2 linked regions of the Struthio camelus genome follow. The protein of the gene in region 2 interacts with the protein of the main gene of each other region in a pairwise test. Links are inferred from orthologs where the notes say so. Each region holds a gene or a part of one and is shown on either strand. Other genes may lie near its edges.

Evidence for each region.
Region 1: the proteins of MID2 (region 2) and BYSL interact in binary tests that used the Homo sapiens proteins (3 or more experiments, as listed by UniProt). The two-hybrid records come from large-scale screens. The link is inferred for Struthio camelus from reciprocal best matches to the Homo sapiens genes MID2 and BYSL.

Annotation. Positions count from the first base shown.
Region 1 is NC_090965.1:6,382,053-6,389,097, forward strand, and holds the start of BYSL (bystin), read left to right. Parts: upstream 1-4,033; 5' UTR 4,034-4,060; coding exon 4,061-4,301; intron 4,302-4,385; coding exon 4,386-4,560; intron 4,561-4,645; coding exon 4,646-4,784; intron 4,785-5,288; coding exon 5,289-5,422; intron 5,423-5,674; coding exon 5,675-5,835; intron 5,836-6,391; coding exon 6,392-6,494; intron 6,495-6,867; coding exon 6,868-7,045. Other genes in the region: MED20 (mediator of RNA polymerase II transcription subunit 20), read right to left, coding at 892-1,145, 3,074-3,228, 3,885-3,898. UniProt on the Homo sapiens protein: Required for processing of 20S pre-rRNA precursor and biogenesis of 40S ribosomal subunits. May be required for trophinin-dependent regulation of cell adhesion during implantation of human embryos.
Region 2 is NC_090952.1:2,236,107-2,243,125, reverse strand, and holds the start of MID2 (probable E3 ubiquitin-protein ligase MID2), read left to right. Parts: upstream 1-4,013; 5' UTR 4,014-4,139; intron 4,140-7,019. UniProt on the Homo sapiens protein: E3 ubiquitin ligase that plays a role in microtubule stabilization. Mediates the 'Lys-48'-linked polyubiquitination of LRRK2 to drive its localization to microtubules and its proteasomal degradation in neurons.

The DNA.
Region 1 (7,045 bases), on a different chromosome or scaffold from region 2:
CCACAGCAGCACAGACCAGCTTCTTGTCTTATTCTGAGAGCCTTTTCAGCCCAGGTGAGGCTCGTCCATGGCTCGTAAGCCTTTGAGTTGCACATCCATTCAGCCAACTGTCTCCCCAAATGACTTCATAGCTCCTCCTGTGACCCTTCATCTGTACTGAAGGATCGCCCTGCAGCTGGCACGAAACAACTGGTGCTCTCAAGCCTAATCAACAGTCAGGCTGCTGAGCAGAAACAGCGGAAGCTGTTTGATGACAGGCTTTGTGCCCACACTGCACCCCACAGTGCAGCAATCCAGGTCAGCCATGGGGTAGGACTGACGCCTGCAACGCAAAGCTCTCTGAAGAGGAGACGCCATCTTTATGCCATGTGCGTGCAGAACCTAGGGCAGGAGGACCGTGCTCTCCACTGGGATGCCTAAGCCCAGCCATTTTCTGCTCAAGATGGGGAAAGAAAGCAAAACCCAAATCAGCATTAAATTATCAGCTAAAGAGATTGTTTTGTCCCCCTTGGTATGTTTAATAACCTGAAGCGTGCTACTAGTGTCGTGCGTCAGGACTTTAAGCAGCTTTTTAGTTTGATGGCATCCCTTCAGGGCTTTGTTTATTGACACTTCAATGACAGGCTCTTCCACAGCTGCAGCTGAGCCCCAGAGTATCTGCCTGAATTAAACCTTGCCTTGAAAAGGCAATAAATACTCCTTGCACATACACGAATACATCTAGTACAAACTAACAGCAACTAGTATACAAGTTCACATTTGAGAGGCTGGCCTGCAGGCCAAGCAGTCAATACATGGAAGGAAGAGGGGCTCAAGATTTCTAGTCTAGCATCTAATATGAGATTTCTCTATCTGTAGTTGTATTTTATATCAATCAAAGACAATCCTTACCTCCACAGATATCCCACGGGCACTGGGCCCCATTGTAACCGTGCCCACCTTCACCAAGAAGTCACAGTACTGGTAGCGGGTTCCCCGGCTCTCTATCTTGTTCGCCTTGGCATTTTGGAAGAAGCCTTTCAGCTTCACCATAAGGATATCAAAGTTGGCATCTGCTATGAGGCAGGGACCATTTTCAAAGAGAGCGAAACAGCTGAGGGGATATTCAGAGTTGTGCATCACATACATCAGCTTGCCTGTCTGCCCTGAAACAAGAGCAATGATATATGGGCTGCAGAAACAACAGTCCTGTGCTTGTATGTGCTTTTAAGAAAGAAACATCTCTTTGCTTTCCCTTTGTTTTCCTTGCTGCTTCAATTCTAGGATCCTTGTATTAGTCTCACACACTTTACGTTTTCTGAGTGTTCCGGAGATAGGTTATATTTCCCTCTTAGGGTTTAAAACTAAAGGAAAAAAAAATCTCATGCAGCCACTCCTTGCCCAGGGACAAGACGGCAGTGCAACTCAAGGGCCAGACTTGGATGTTAGATCTCCAGCAGGATGAGAGGGTCAGCAAAGAGCACCTGCTCCCCTCCCAGAACATGGGGCTGTCCTCTTCAGCCCTGCAGTAAAGGGAGAAAAGCTGGGTTTTGCCTCATCTCCCAGTCGCTGACCAGCCCCACAGAGCTAGCAAAGGAAGGAGGTGCCTGGGCACATTCTGGAAAACAGGACATCCAGAGAGGATGTGCCTAGCTTGTACAGTGATTCAGAAGTGGAAGAGGATTCTCATTTATCTGTGTTGGTTAAAAAAGCCTCTCAACAGATGTGATTGTGCAAGTTCCAGTTCCAGCTCCAGCAAAAAGCCCCTCTCATAGCTTCAAACCTGCAGACACATCCGCAAAACCCGACAGCAGGGCAGCTGAAGCAGCACCCCAGCTGCACCAATCTGCCTGGGAAGAGCGGTGAGGCTGGAAGGGCTCAGTGCTGACCTCTGCAGCCGCAGAAACACTGGAGGGATGTTCACACTGGTTTTTAAATGCTGTTAAAAGCCACATGCTTGGGAGGGAAAAGGAGGGGAGCACAGTCCCCCCAAGTGAGCAGATTAAGTCACGTCTTTCAGCTCTCCCGTTAGGCCCTGTGATGTCCAGAGGGAATGCCAGGTCCTCCAAGCACATCCCCCGGCCACGACTGGGTCATTTCACACCTCAGAAATTCCCCTAGAGCTGCTCACCACCGCCTGCCTGCCCTGGGGAGCCTGCTTTCTTCTCTGCTACCACCTCCTGCCCTCGATCGCTCACCCTCCTGGAGAAGAAGGGCAGAGCAGGTGACAGCAACAAGTTGCTCTCAGGAGACTCCTGTAACTTAGCTGCTGTGCAAAACGCAGCCTCCAAAACAAGTCACCAACAGTAACGCTTTAAGAAGCCTTAGGGAAAAAAACACTGCCAAACTGGCAGCTGGTTTTTGACCACTTATCTTATTTCACACGCACAAAAGAGAGATCCTACACAGCTGCTGATATTCCAGTTAAGAATCCTTAAGCGCTGACACAACACAGCTATCCTCAGTGCAGGAAAGGACAACCGTGGGGCATGTGTGTAACAGAGAAAACAGCATTAGTGAGACACAACAGGCTCCCAAGTGGAACGGCGCGTTTAGTCATTCAACATGTCTGTTCCAGGGCAGCCCACGGCACGCAGCACCCAGCCGCGGGGCCAGCGGAGCTGTCGGAATGACCTTCCCCGGCTCTCTGGGGACGATGCGCAGGGGCGCTATGTTTCCCAAAGCTATTCATCTGAGAGGGGAAGAGGTGAACTGCGGTATGAATCTTTCAAGGTAGAAAAAAGCTTTTACAAGCAGCCAGGCAACTGCCCGTTCCCCACAAGAGCTCAACACAATAAATAAAATGATGCTGACTTGTGGAAGAAACCTCAATTGCAGGGCAGAGCGGCGATCTCGCACGTAGCACGCGCTTGTTCCACAAGGGACCTCGCTGTTACTGCAGCCGGATTTCGCTACCAGCACGCTGGGCACGAGATGAAAGACCGAGAAACGCTCACGGGAGAAGAGAAGCCTCCGAGCTGGCACTGGATGAGAGCCTGCAACCACCTCCCTCCCTTTTACCGCGACCGGTCTCCGGGGGACCGCAGCTGCGGGGCATGCCCGGGGGTGGCGGCAGCGGGGGGCCGGCCCTGACCTTGGTTGCCCATGGTGGAGGCGGCGGTGTGGTAGGTCTCGCAGTCCACGCAAAACGTCCCCTGCTTCTCCGCCCCCAGCAGCTCCAGCTTCCTCGTCAGCATTTCGACCGTCTGCTGGACGCTCTTGCCCTCGGCCACGGGCACCTGCGCCACGCTGCGGGGGGAGGCGTCAGCGGCGCCTGCGAGCCCGGGGACCCGGCCTGGCCGCCACGGCCCCGAGCCAGGGGGTTAACGGCACCCGGGACGGGGGGAGGGCCACGGTGTCCCCCCGTGACAGCACCCACGCTGGGGGGGGGCCATCTGCCACAGCCTCCCCGTGACGGGGCCCATGGAAGGGGGGGGGACAGCTCCCGCTGCGGCCTCCCCGTGACGGGGCCCACGGAAGGGGGGGGGACACCCTCCGCTGCGGCCTCCCCGTGACGGGGCCCACGGAAGGGGGGGGACACCCTCCGCTGCGGCCTCCCCGTGACGGGGCCCACGGAAGGGGGGGGACACCCTCCGCTGCGGCCTCCCCGTGACGAGGCCCACGGAAGGGGGGGGACACCCTCCGCTGCGGCCTCCCCGTGACGGGGCCCACGGAAGGGGGGGGGACAGCTCCCGCTGCGGCCTCCCCGTGACGGGGCCCACGGGAGGAGGAAGGAACACCGCAACCCCCGCAACGAGAGCACCCACGGGGGAGGGAACATGCAGTTGCCCCCCGGCCAGCACCCACGGGGGAACCGTCCGCCGCAGCCCCCCGAGACGGCACCCACGGTGGAGGGGAGAGGGGGAACCGCCTCGCGCCCCCCTCCCCCCCCCCGCCATCCTTACCACGTGACGCCCATGGCGCGCGGCGGCGGCGGCCCCGGCAGCGCCGCTGCCGCGCGGGGGCCGCGGGCGGGGCGGAAGTGACGTGCGGGGCGTGAGGCGGCGTGTGACGTGGTGCCTGCGGCGCCGCGCGCGCCCTCCCGGCCCGGCCTCGCTCCCCCGCCGCCGCCGCCGCCATCATGCCGAAGGCCCCGGCCCGGGCAGGGCCCCGCGAGCGGGCGCCGCCGCTGGCCGAGCAGATCCTGCGGGCGGCGGCGCCGCGGCCCACGGCGCGCGTGAAGCGGCGCGGCGCGGCGGGTGGCGATGATGATGGCGGCTACGTGGACTCGCGGCTGTCGCGGCGGATCCTGGAGCAGGCGCGGCGGCAGCAGGAGGAGCTGGAGGCCGAGCACGGCCCCGGCGCGCCCGCCGCTGCCCTGGGTGAGCCCCGAGGCGGGGTCGGGGGGAGGCCGGGGGGGGGGGGTCCGGCCTTGCCCCGCGCTGACCCGGCCCCGTTTCACGCAGGCCCCGCGCCGCCCGGCCCGGACAGCGAGGAGGAGGAGGCGGCGGCGGAGGAGGAGGAGGAAGAGTGGCCCTCGCTGGAGCAGGCCGCGGCGGGGCGGTGGTGCCAGGAGGTGGCCGTGGACCCCGAGGACGAGAAGGCCATCGAGATGTTCATGAGCAGGAACCCGCCGCTGAGGTGGGCCGGGGGCCGGCGGGGCGCCGGGCCGGGGGCCGGGGACCGACGCTTGACTCACTCTCGCTTCCCTTCGTCCCGGCCCCAGGCGCACGCTGGCGGACATCATCATGGAGAAGATCACGGAGAAGCAGACGGAGGTGGAGACGGCGATGTCGGAGATAACGGGTTGCCCCATGCCTCAGCTCGACCCCCGCGTCCTGGAGGTCTACAGGGGCGTCCGAGAAGTAAGGCCGAGGCGGCTCCGCTCTGCGCGGGGGCCCGGCGGCGAGGCTGCCTCAGAGGCTGTTCTGCTACAGCCCGTAGCGCTCACCTGGCAGCGATCGCTGCCGAGCCCCCCTTTCCCTTCGCTGGTAGTAAGTACAGCGATCAGGACGTGTTCAAGGAGAGAAGCTCAGCTGGGGGTAAATTGGCATTTTCATGAGCAAAGTTGCTAATCTCCTTGCAGTGAGACACCCTGGGAAGCCCGAGAGAAACCCCACACCAGAAATGGGAGGGTGGTGTGATTAGTTAGCACGGCCCAGACAGTGCTTCCCTGGGTGTGCTCTTTCTCTTCAAAATAAATTAACTGCGATTTACATAGTGTCATTCACTGAAGACCCCAGAGTGTTTCTGAATGACTGAATCTCAAGGTCATGAAACAAATCCTGACGAATCCCCATGGTCCTGCTGTCAGTTCCACTATATCACTGCCAGGCTTGCATCCATTCCTTTTTTTGTTTTTTTTTAAGGTGCTGTCCAAATACAGGAGTGGCAAACTCCCCAAGGCATTTAAAATCATTCCTGCCTTATCCAACTGGGAGCAGATCCTGTACATCACAGAGCCAGAGACATGGACAGCAGCTGCCATGTACCAAGCAACCAGGTAGAATTGTGTCTGGGAATTACTGATTTTTTTTTTTTATTATTCGCTTCATCTTTCCACAAGCGAATACCAGATACGCAAAATGCCAGTCTGTGTCCTGCTTTCCTGTTCCTTTGCATGCCAAGGTGGAGGGAGTCATGGGGATCTCATAGCTGATGCCCTGGCTCAGGTACTGCCTGCAGTTACACACTCCCAGGACCTCTCTCCAGAGACAGACAGATCACAGCTTGCTTTGTGCTTCGCTCTTCCCAGGATATTTTCATCCAACCTGAAAGAAAGGATGGCCCAGAGGTTCTACAACCTGGTACTGCTGCCTCGGGTCAGGGATGACATCGCCGAGTACAAGCGTCTCAACTTTCACCTCTACATGGCTTTGAAGAAGGCTTTGTTCAAGCCAGGAGCCTGGTTCAAAGGTAGAGACTTCCCACAGGGTGATGGTTTGTACATAGGAGCCTTGCAGCCATACAGCAGCTGGGAAGCTCAGCAGGGGCATGTGTTGCACACTTGCCTTGTAACAGCACACCATGCTGTGTGTGGTGCGATGACTTCTGTCACGGCTGCAGCAGCCCAAGGGGTTGGTGGGAAGAAGGAGGGCAGAGAAGAAGCAAAAGAGATGTAGAGACCCCCTTGGGCCCATTTGCACCCTTCTGTGCTGAAGGGCAATGGGTACTGGCGGGTTACGCAGGTGCTGCCAGCAGATACTGGCAGATACTTGGTTTCTTTTGGAGGTCAGTAGCCCATTACAAATTATCCTAGGCCTGATCTGCATATTGTCTAGCAACCTGAGGATGTTTGGTGCTAGATGCATGGAGAAGAGGGTGGAAAGAGATATTGAAACTCCCATAACATAAACCAATGGAGGATCCTCTAATTCCTGGAGTCAGATGCATCCGGGGATAGGAGAAGGCAGCTCTGCCTGCTATGTTTAAGGACAGCAGTGTCTAACACTTTCCCCCCCGCCCCTGGCAGGGATCCTCATCCCCCTGTGCGAGTCGGGGACCTGCACGCTGCGGGAAGCCATCATCATCGGCAGCATCCTCACCAAGTGCTCTATCCCTGTCCTTCACTCCAGGTAACGTGGCAGTGGGGCCCTGCTGCCATGGGGTACTGGGAAGGATGGGCAGGGGGAACGGTTCTCCCTTTGTGATGCCGGAGCGATGCAATGGATCTGTCCCTAAGCCTCTCTGGCCTCTCGGAGACAGAGAAGGTTTCACCCAGCTCTGCCTTGTCTGTGCAGGGCTGAGGTTCAAGGCTTCCTGCAGTGCTGGGGCTGTCATCCGTGTGTCTGGGACCCACTGGGGCAGGGCTCAAGGGACAAGCTAACCTGGGAGAAAGGGAGCCTTCAGCTGTCCACGTCACGGGTGCCCCGTAGCTCTTGCTTGGCCTGCAGGTGCTGAGGCCCTGCCACACCTGCCCTCACCTTGGTGCTCCCTCCGTCCCCACAGCGCAGCCATGCTGAAGATTGCTGAGATGCAGTACAGCGGTGCCAACAGCATCTTCCTCCGCTTGCTCATTGACAAGAAGTATGCACTGCCCTTCCGCGTGGTGGATGCGCTTGTCTTCCACTTCCTGGCCTTCCGCACAGACCAGCGGGTCCTCCCTGTCCTGTGGCACCAGAGCTTC
Region 2 (7,019 bases):
GCAGTAACTATTGTAGATGCTGTGGCAGGAAATTTCCTGCTTCTTTCCAGTCGCACGCCTTGCATCTAGTCCTGTGCTAGCTCCCAGTTAATGGGAGCCTCATCTCAGCACCTTGCCCTATCACGCTGCTGCTCCCTCAGCAGTTCAAAAGAGCCCTCTTGCCTTCTCCTTCTTGCCCCTGAGCTGCAGCAGGGTTAGAAGGGGGAAGTGAATGGGAGCAACTGAACTCGGGAGTTTTGCATCCTTCCCCTCCTTCAGTTGCTCCCATTCACATGTGAAAAGGTAAAAAGGGAACTGCTCATAAATAGGGTAGTGTGAAAGCCTGTCATGTCTTTTACAACGAATGGCTGGGCTGGGTTAAGAAACTGTTCTGGCTGGTATGCGTGCCAAGAAGACATGCACAATGCATTTGACAACAACTTGCTGCCTCTGGAAAAGCAGCCCTCAAACACTACACAGAGGCAGTTCAGCCCTGTTGCTGCTGCATGAAAACTTTTAACAATAAAGCCTTAATGAAGAGCATGACAGTGGGACTGCTGTCTTGCAAGACACAGAGGCATTGGGAAAGTGCATGCTAAGCCAGAAGAGCCTGTTTTGGGGCAAGTTTGTGAGGCCTCTGGTTTAGGCATCACAGGACAGAACTGAAATTGTGATCAGACTCTGAAATTCCAGGCCTCAACATGAGGTGGTGCAAAGTATCCACTTCCTATACATGAACTGAGCTGCTGTTCCATGCACAGTGACGGAGGAGGAAGTGAATGCCTCTGGGTAAGAACTGGAGATACAGGAGGTGCTAATGAAACTTCAAAAAATGACGTTATCAAAACATAAGAAGAAACTAGAAGATTCTTCTTGGGGAATTCATCCTGCTCATTCATTCCTGCTCATCTCTACAACTACCTGCCTGCTTTTAGGAAGAAGCAAGAAGAGGGATTCAGAACTTAAAAGGATTTTTCCCCCCCTATGCTTTCTACTGCAAGAACAAATTTCAGAGAGGGGGAGTCCCGCTTTATAACTTTGTGTCATTTATTCACTAAGCATCCCAGGCATGCAGTATAACTTGAGTGCCTCCATTCCCCATTTGTAAAATGTGGATGCTAACACATACCAGCCTTGGGCAATATAATCACGATTCCCTTAGTCCTAACAACATGCTCACAGCTGCATGTTACACAAATCAAGTCAGTCCCTATTCAAAATGCACAAGTCCTGCTGGAAGAGGTGCTGAGCACTTGACACTCCAAAATGACTTCACGGGCAGATGGACATGTTCTCCCCACCCCTAATTAATATGATTCACTCTTGAGTTGTTAGCACATTAGCATAAAGAGCTCTACCCTCCTACCGCCCTGCTTGCTCAATTAAAGTGTCATTTGGACCTGATCCCTTCTGTGTTTAGAACACATGCACATATAGAGCAACACTGTAATTGTAAATATTTGCCCAAGGTCACCTCTGACACTTCCAGTTTGTAATCCAGAGGCCTAACTAGGCTAGGGACTCATCAAGCTGACAGTGGTGGTAATGTTCCCTGACAAAATCCTATCTCCTGTGGATCCCTTTAGAAAAACTGTTTGGGGGCTTAAAATACCCCTGACACCGAGCTGTGGCCTGGTAGGTCTCAGCCCACCTGGGCCATGGTATTTGGTGTGTTCTACAGATGGAGCCACAGCTGTGCACATCCGCCATTGGGCTTTGATTTGCAAGTGTGAGAGAGACAGCAGTAGTTAGATTCCTGGAGGACAGGAAAGAGAGGCACTGACACTTATCCCCTCCATATCGTCCCTAGCAGCAACTCCAAAGCCTCTGTTTCTCCCATGCTCCCTGTCCCTGCCAGCTTGCCTACCTTTCCCAGTGATGTGGTAAGGTTGTCATCATAGCTGGGAGAAGGTGTGAGATCAGGATACCACACAGCTGGCTACTGCTGCATGATGCCTGCTGGCTGGGCTCTCTTTCTCACCAGCATGCTTTGGGAGGAAGCTTGAAGGTCTCTGAGCTTGGGGCTGAGCCAAGCTACCAGACTCCTGTGACAGCTGCTCCTTGGCAGCCCTGATCACAGTGCAGAAGCCATGTGAATCCAGGCTCGGTTACCTGCAGAGTCCTTTGAAATGGGGTGTTTGTGGTCTCCAGTCATCTGTTAGTTGTTAGCAGCCTGTTTTCTGTTGCAGCCTGATGTGCCTCGTCTCTGGGTTGCACATCTGCGCTATTATCTTTGCTGTTCCCTGCTGCTTCATGTTTCCATTGGCCCATACAGTCAGTGTCTCCCCCTTGTACTGCCTCATCTAAGCTATACTGTGTTCACAAATGTACACACATAGGCGGGGGTCTCTGCACCTGGTAATTGGTGACCCTAAACACCAGTGCAGGATGTATAACTTTGCCCAACAGACTAAATCTGATCCCAGGTACCTGCTGCAGCCTATTAATAGCACTGAATTCAGGAAAGTTGCTTTAATTTCCTGCCTGTCTAAACAAAGGAAGAATTGGGCCCTATCAGGCTCTGATCGGGCTGTTTGTTCTCTTCTCGCTTGGTTTGCACAGATGCAAATGACAAGAATCAGTCCCAGGACAGCTATGAATTACGTGACTTGGCCACAGCAATGCAGACTGTTTTCCCTGTCAAAAGAGCAGAGATAGGATTTAACGCCGAATAACTGGTGTACATTAACTATCCCACTGTCAGATTCTCCTAGGGAACAGGATCTGTGATTTTTCTGCAAGGTAAACTAGGTGAGAACAACCCTGGCTGTGGTTATGATGTTGACTTCTATTACTCGGTAAAGTACAGCTGTCTTTTTCCACTGGAATTTCACAGTGTGACAACTACCATGTGTTCGGTGCCTTACTGTAAAAATGAAGCACATACTATGTGTCTGGGCATGCAATGACGATATCAAAGTGAATTAAGGGCAGAAAATGAAAGGGCTGCAGGTCCCTGCACACTAAACCGTTCCTTTGACATCTGAAAGGATCTCTTCCTACCTCACTGAGCGGCACCGAGATCCTGGATATACTTTTCCTCCTATTTATTTTAAAGAGAAGGGTCATTTAACAGTCCAGGCAGTCTTCAAATATAAATAACCTGTACAGCATATATGCCTGTTACCAAGGAATAAATTACATTTCTGGGTTCCCCTTCCCTTGTATCTCTTTGATGTTATTGCTTTGCACTTATATGTATGTATGTATATATGCACTTTATAAATAACAAAATAAACTTACCCAATAGGCTTTTTTACTGTATTAAAAACATCAGAATATCCACCCACTCTTCGGGACTAGAAAGTGGGGTTGGAGAGGGAACTAATCTAATCTATTTCTCAGCTGTATCGGACAATGGAAAAGCAAACACATTAAGAGTTGCTGCGAAGAAATTTAATCTCAACTTTTAAGTATCTCCTCCACTGTAATAATAATAAAACACCCCACGGATCTCATTTAAAGCCTTTGCCTGATGTACATGTCTGACTATCCTTGTAATCGCTATTGGTCTGTGCACAAGGAAGAAATGTTTCCTAACGCTACGCTCCTCTTCCTCGTGCGGGGGGACAGAAGACGGGTGGTTAAGGGCTGCGCTGTCCTCGGCCCCGACCCCGGGCGCCGCGGGCCGGTGCCCCCGGAGCACGTCGGGGCGCGGCCCGCGCGGGCCCGCGGCTTCGCCGTTCCCTGCCGGCCTTCCAGCCTCTCTCCTCCGCCGCCGCTCAGGCAGACACGGCGCGCCCGGGGGCAGGAAGGGGCGGCCGCGGGGCGGTACCGCCCGGCCCGGCCCGGCTCCGCGGCGCCCGGCCCCGCTGGAGCCTCCCCGGCGCGCCCTGGCTCGGTGCCACCGCGGCGGGGCGGGCGGGGGGAGCGCGGCCCCGAGGCCGCCGTGCCTGGTGCTGCTGCGCTGCCTCACCTGCGGCGGCGGGCAGGGCCGGCGGCGGCGGCGGCGGCGGCGGCGGCGGCGGCGGCGGCGGCGGCGGGAGGGCGGGGGGGCGGCAGGGAGGGCGGGCGCGAGGCAGGGCGGAGGCGGCGGGAGCGCGGCGCCCGCCTCCCGCCCCGCGCTCCGGCTGCCGCCCGCGCCGCCGTCTCCCCCGCGCCGCCGCCGCCGCGTCTCCAAGATGCCCGGGCAGCGGCGGGGAGGCTGCCGCAGCCCGCTGGTAGGTTGCGGCCCCGGGAGAGCGGAGCAGGGCGGGCGGGTGCCGCCCGGAGCCCGCGGGAGTACCGGGGCCCCGGGGTGAGGGTGCCTGGCCGGTCGCCGAGGGGGCGAGGGCGCGGGGTGGCGGGCAGGGCTCGGGTCCCCGGCGCTGCCGTTGCGATTTTGCAGCAAGCGGCGCAGAGCGGAGCGGGGGCCCGCACCGCCCCGTGCTTTCCCGGCCACGGCGCTGCCAGGGGCTCTCGCCCTGCCCGGAGCCGGCGACGCCCGGAGCCGGCGGCGGCTCGGTGCGCAGGCAGCTCTGCCAGCTGCGAAGTGTGTTTGCAAATGCTCCTAAGCATCTTCCGCTCCTCGGTGGGGAAGAACAGAGGAGTTTGCGCTCGGCGCCCTCCCAGCCTTTTTCCCCTTCCACGGGAGGAAGTTCAGGTGCGCCGAGTCCATCCTGCAAGACCAGCCAACGCGAGGTGCAGTGAGACGTCCCCTTTCCTTCCTAGCCGTTTCTGTTTGCTCGGAACCATCCTAGTATGAAACAGCTATTTGTTTGCTAGTTGGCCTTCAGGCTGGCGAGCCGGAGAGGACAAACTTGCCTTCCCACTCCAAGCTCTCCGTGCCAGCCAGTTTAGTTAGCATCTCCCACCCTTTTCCTGATTTTCCAGGTAGTGTGCGCGTGTGTCACATCCTTTCTGCCTCTCAGCCTGGCGACTACATTTTAAATCACTGCGTTTTCAGTTTCAGGCTCCCACTGCTGTCAGCAGGGAGCCCTGTGCAGTGTGGCTGCTTTCTGGTTGCTCCAGTTTTCGTTGCTAGCAGTGTTTCACAGCTTTAGCGATGATAAAGTTTAGCTAAATTGAAGTTAAAAGATAAGGGGGTCTCCCGAGGCTGGCGTCTTCAGAAATCTTCTAGCATTCTTGCAAAGCAAGGCGGAAAGGGGCACGTGTAATGTCTCTAATAATGCTAACCCCTCTGTCTCACTGAGAGACTGTGCAATATTTCATGGGATATTGCTCTACCATTTAATTGACTGTGCAGGACTGATATTATTGCTAGTCCTGAAGTGTAGCGTATTTTGGTTGCATTAAGTATCTGACAAGTTGTTAGAAAATGTGGCTGAGTGACACTCAAGACTTGAATTCCTAGTCTTTAAGCTTTATTTATGTCTCTTGCCTCCAAAAACATATCAACTGCATATTTTATTGCTCTGATGTGCACAGCTAAAGATGTTTGTAACGTAGTTCACAGGCGGCAAATGGCCATTCCATTGAATGGGTTGTAGAGCTTTTGGAGAGGGCAAATGTGTCTTGTTGCCCTACAGTTTTCTCAAGTCCTGACACGCTGGGGTGTTAATGGCTTCAACTGTGCCTGTTCTGTCTGGCTTTTGCCCAGGTCTTCTCCCGCTCTGAAGCAAGCTCTAAAACCTCGGCTGAGTCTTTGTTGTTGAAAGCGGCTTCAAGAAGACCGTCTGTCTTTGAGTAGCTGCCGTAGCTAGAACGAAGCTGGCAGCCTGTACCCACGAAGGCTCTCTGTATCGGCACGGAGTCATCGTTTGCTCCTAGACAGTGTATTGTCTTACAAGTGAGGTCACTGCTGGACAGCATGCTGGGAATTTGGGAAGCGGTGCCAACTGCTTGTCGTGCTGTGCGTGGGACCGAGACGCGTCGAGTTGGGGTCTGAACTGCTTCTTGAACCTTCTAAGAAGAAGAATGGTGCCCTTCCTTCCTTATCTCCCCCCACTCCAATGTGATCTGGGGATCGGGGGCAGAGGCGTCGAGGTCCTGCACGGCCCGGTTTGTGGCAGAGGAGGGCAAACTAGTTGGGGGATGTGGGGTAAGATGTCTGTGGAATAAACAAAGGCAGGCTGGTGAGTGCAGAGCTTCGTGGCTTCTGCGGGTGCTTTGGTCTCTGTGCTGGGGTTGTCGCTGCTGCATTTAGCCTGCTAGGAACGCGCTCAGAGCTGTTCACTTGGCTTTTTCTTCTTGTGAATGGGCAAGAAATAAGGGGGAGGGGAGGCCGTGAACGCAGGTTTATTTGTGGCATTTGCCCGCTGGGCGGTAGTGTTGTAAGGCTGCGATGATCTCTGTTCCAGGGGGCTATTCCACAAAACTACTTCTGGGAAACCAGCTCGGAAAAGGCAGTGAGTGGGGATAAAAATACAAGGAGGAAGAGCAAGTGTCAGCGATAGAAGCAGTTGCATTGATTCAGGCAGGTGGTGTTATTGCTACAGAGAGCCCTGGGTGTGCCTGCTGCTTTACAAACAATTAGAGACAGGTCTGTGCCCTGCGGAGCCTTTTGCGGCATCAGGTGAAAGTAGTGCGTACAGTGAGTGTCCGAAAAGTTGCACTGCCTGTTTTGTAAACGTTGCTTTAGAAAATGAAATTATGCTGCAGTGTATGATAAATTCCCTTGAAGGGTCTGCTTGCATGCGCAGTGTGATCTGATGGCCTCATTGGCAAAGGCACAGTGTTGGGGGGGGGATGCTAACAGTTTGTATGTGATTGCATATATATATGTTTGTAAACAGGGGTGGGATCGTCCTTGAGACAAGAGAATGGTTGACTTTTTTTTTTTTTTTTTAATCAGGACTCTATCATCTCCTCTTTGGGCTGGGGAGGTATGTTTCCAAGTCTGCACTTGAATTTTTCATCCGGAATCCCCTAGCGTTTGGCTTCAGGTGCATTTGTGTGCAGTCAGTGGTTGGGGCTGCTGCTGGGAGTTGCTTGGCCAGCCGGAAGTACGGAGTGTTTTGCTGAACCTGTCATGTCTCAGGTCAGCTACTGACTTTTGACAGTTCTCGCATCTCAGGGCTGCTCTTTTGCAATGTGGCTGGTAGTCTGAGAAACTGTGGCTCTTGGCCGTCCAGGCAGAGAGGCTGGATCTCTGCGGATCC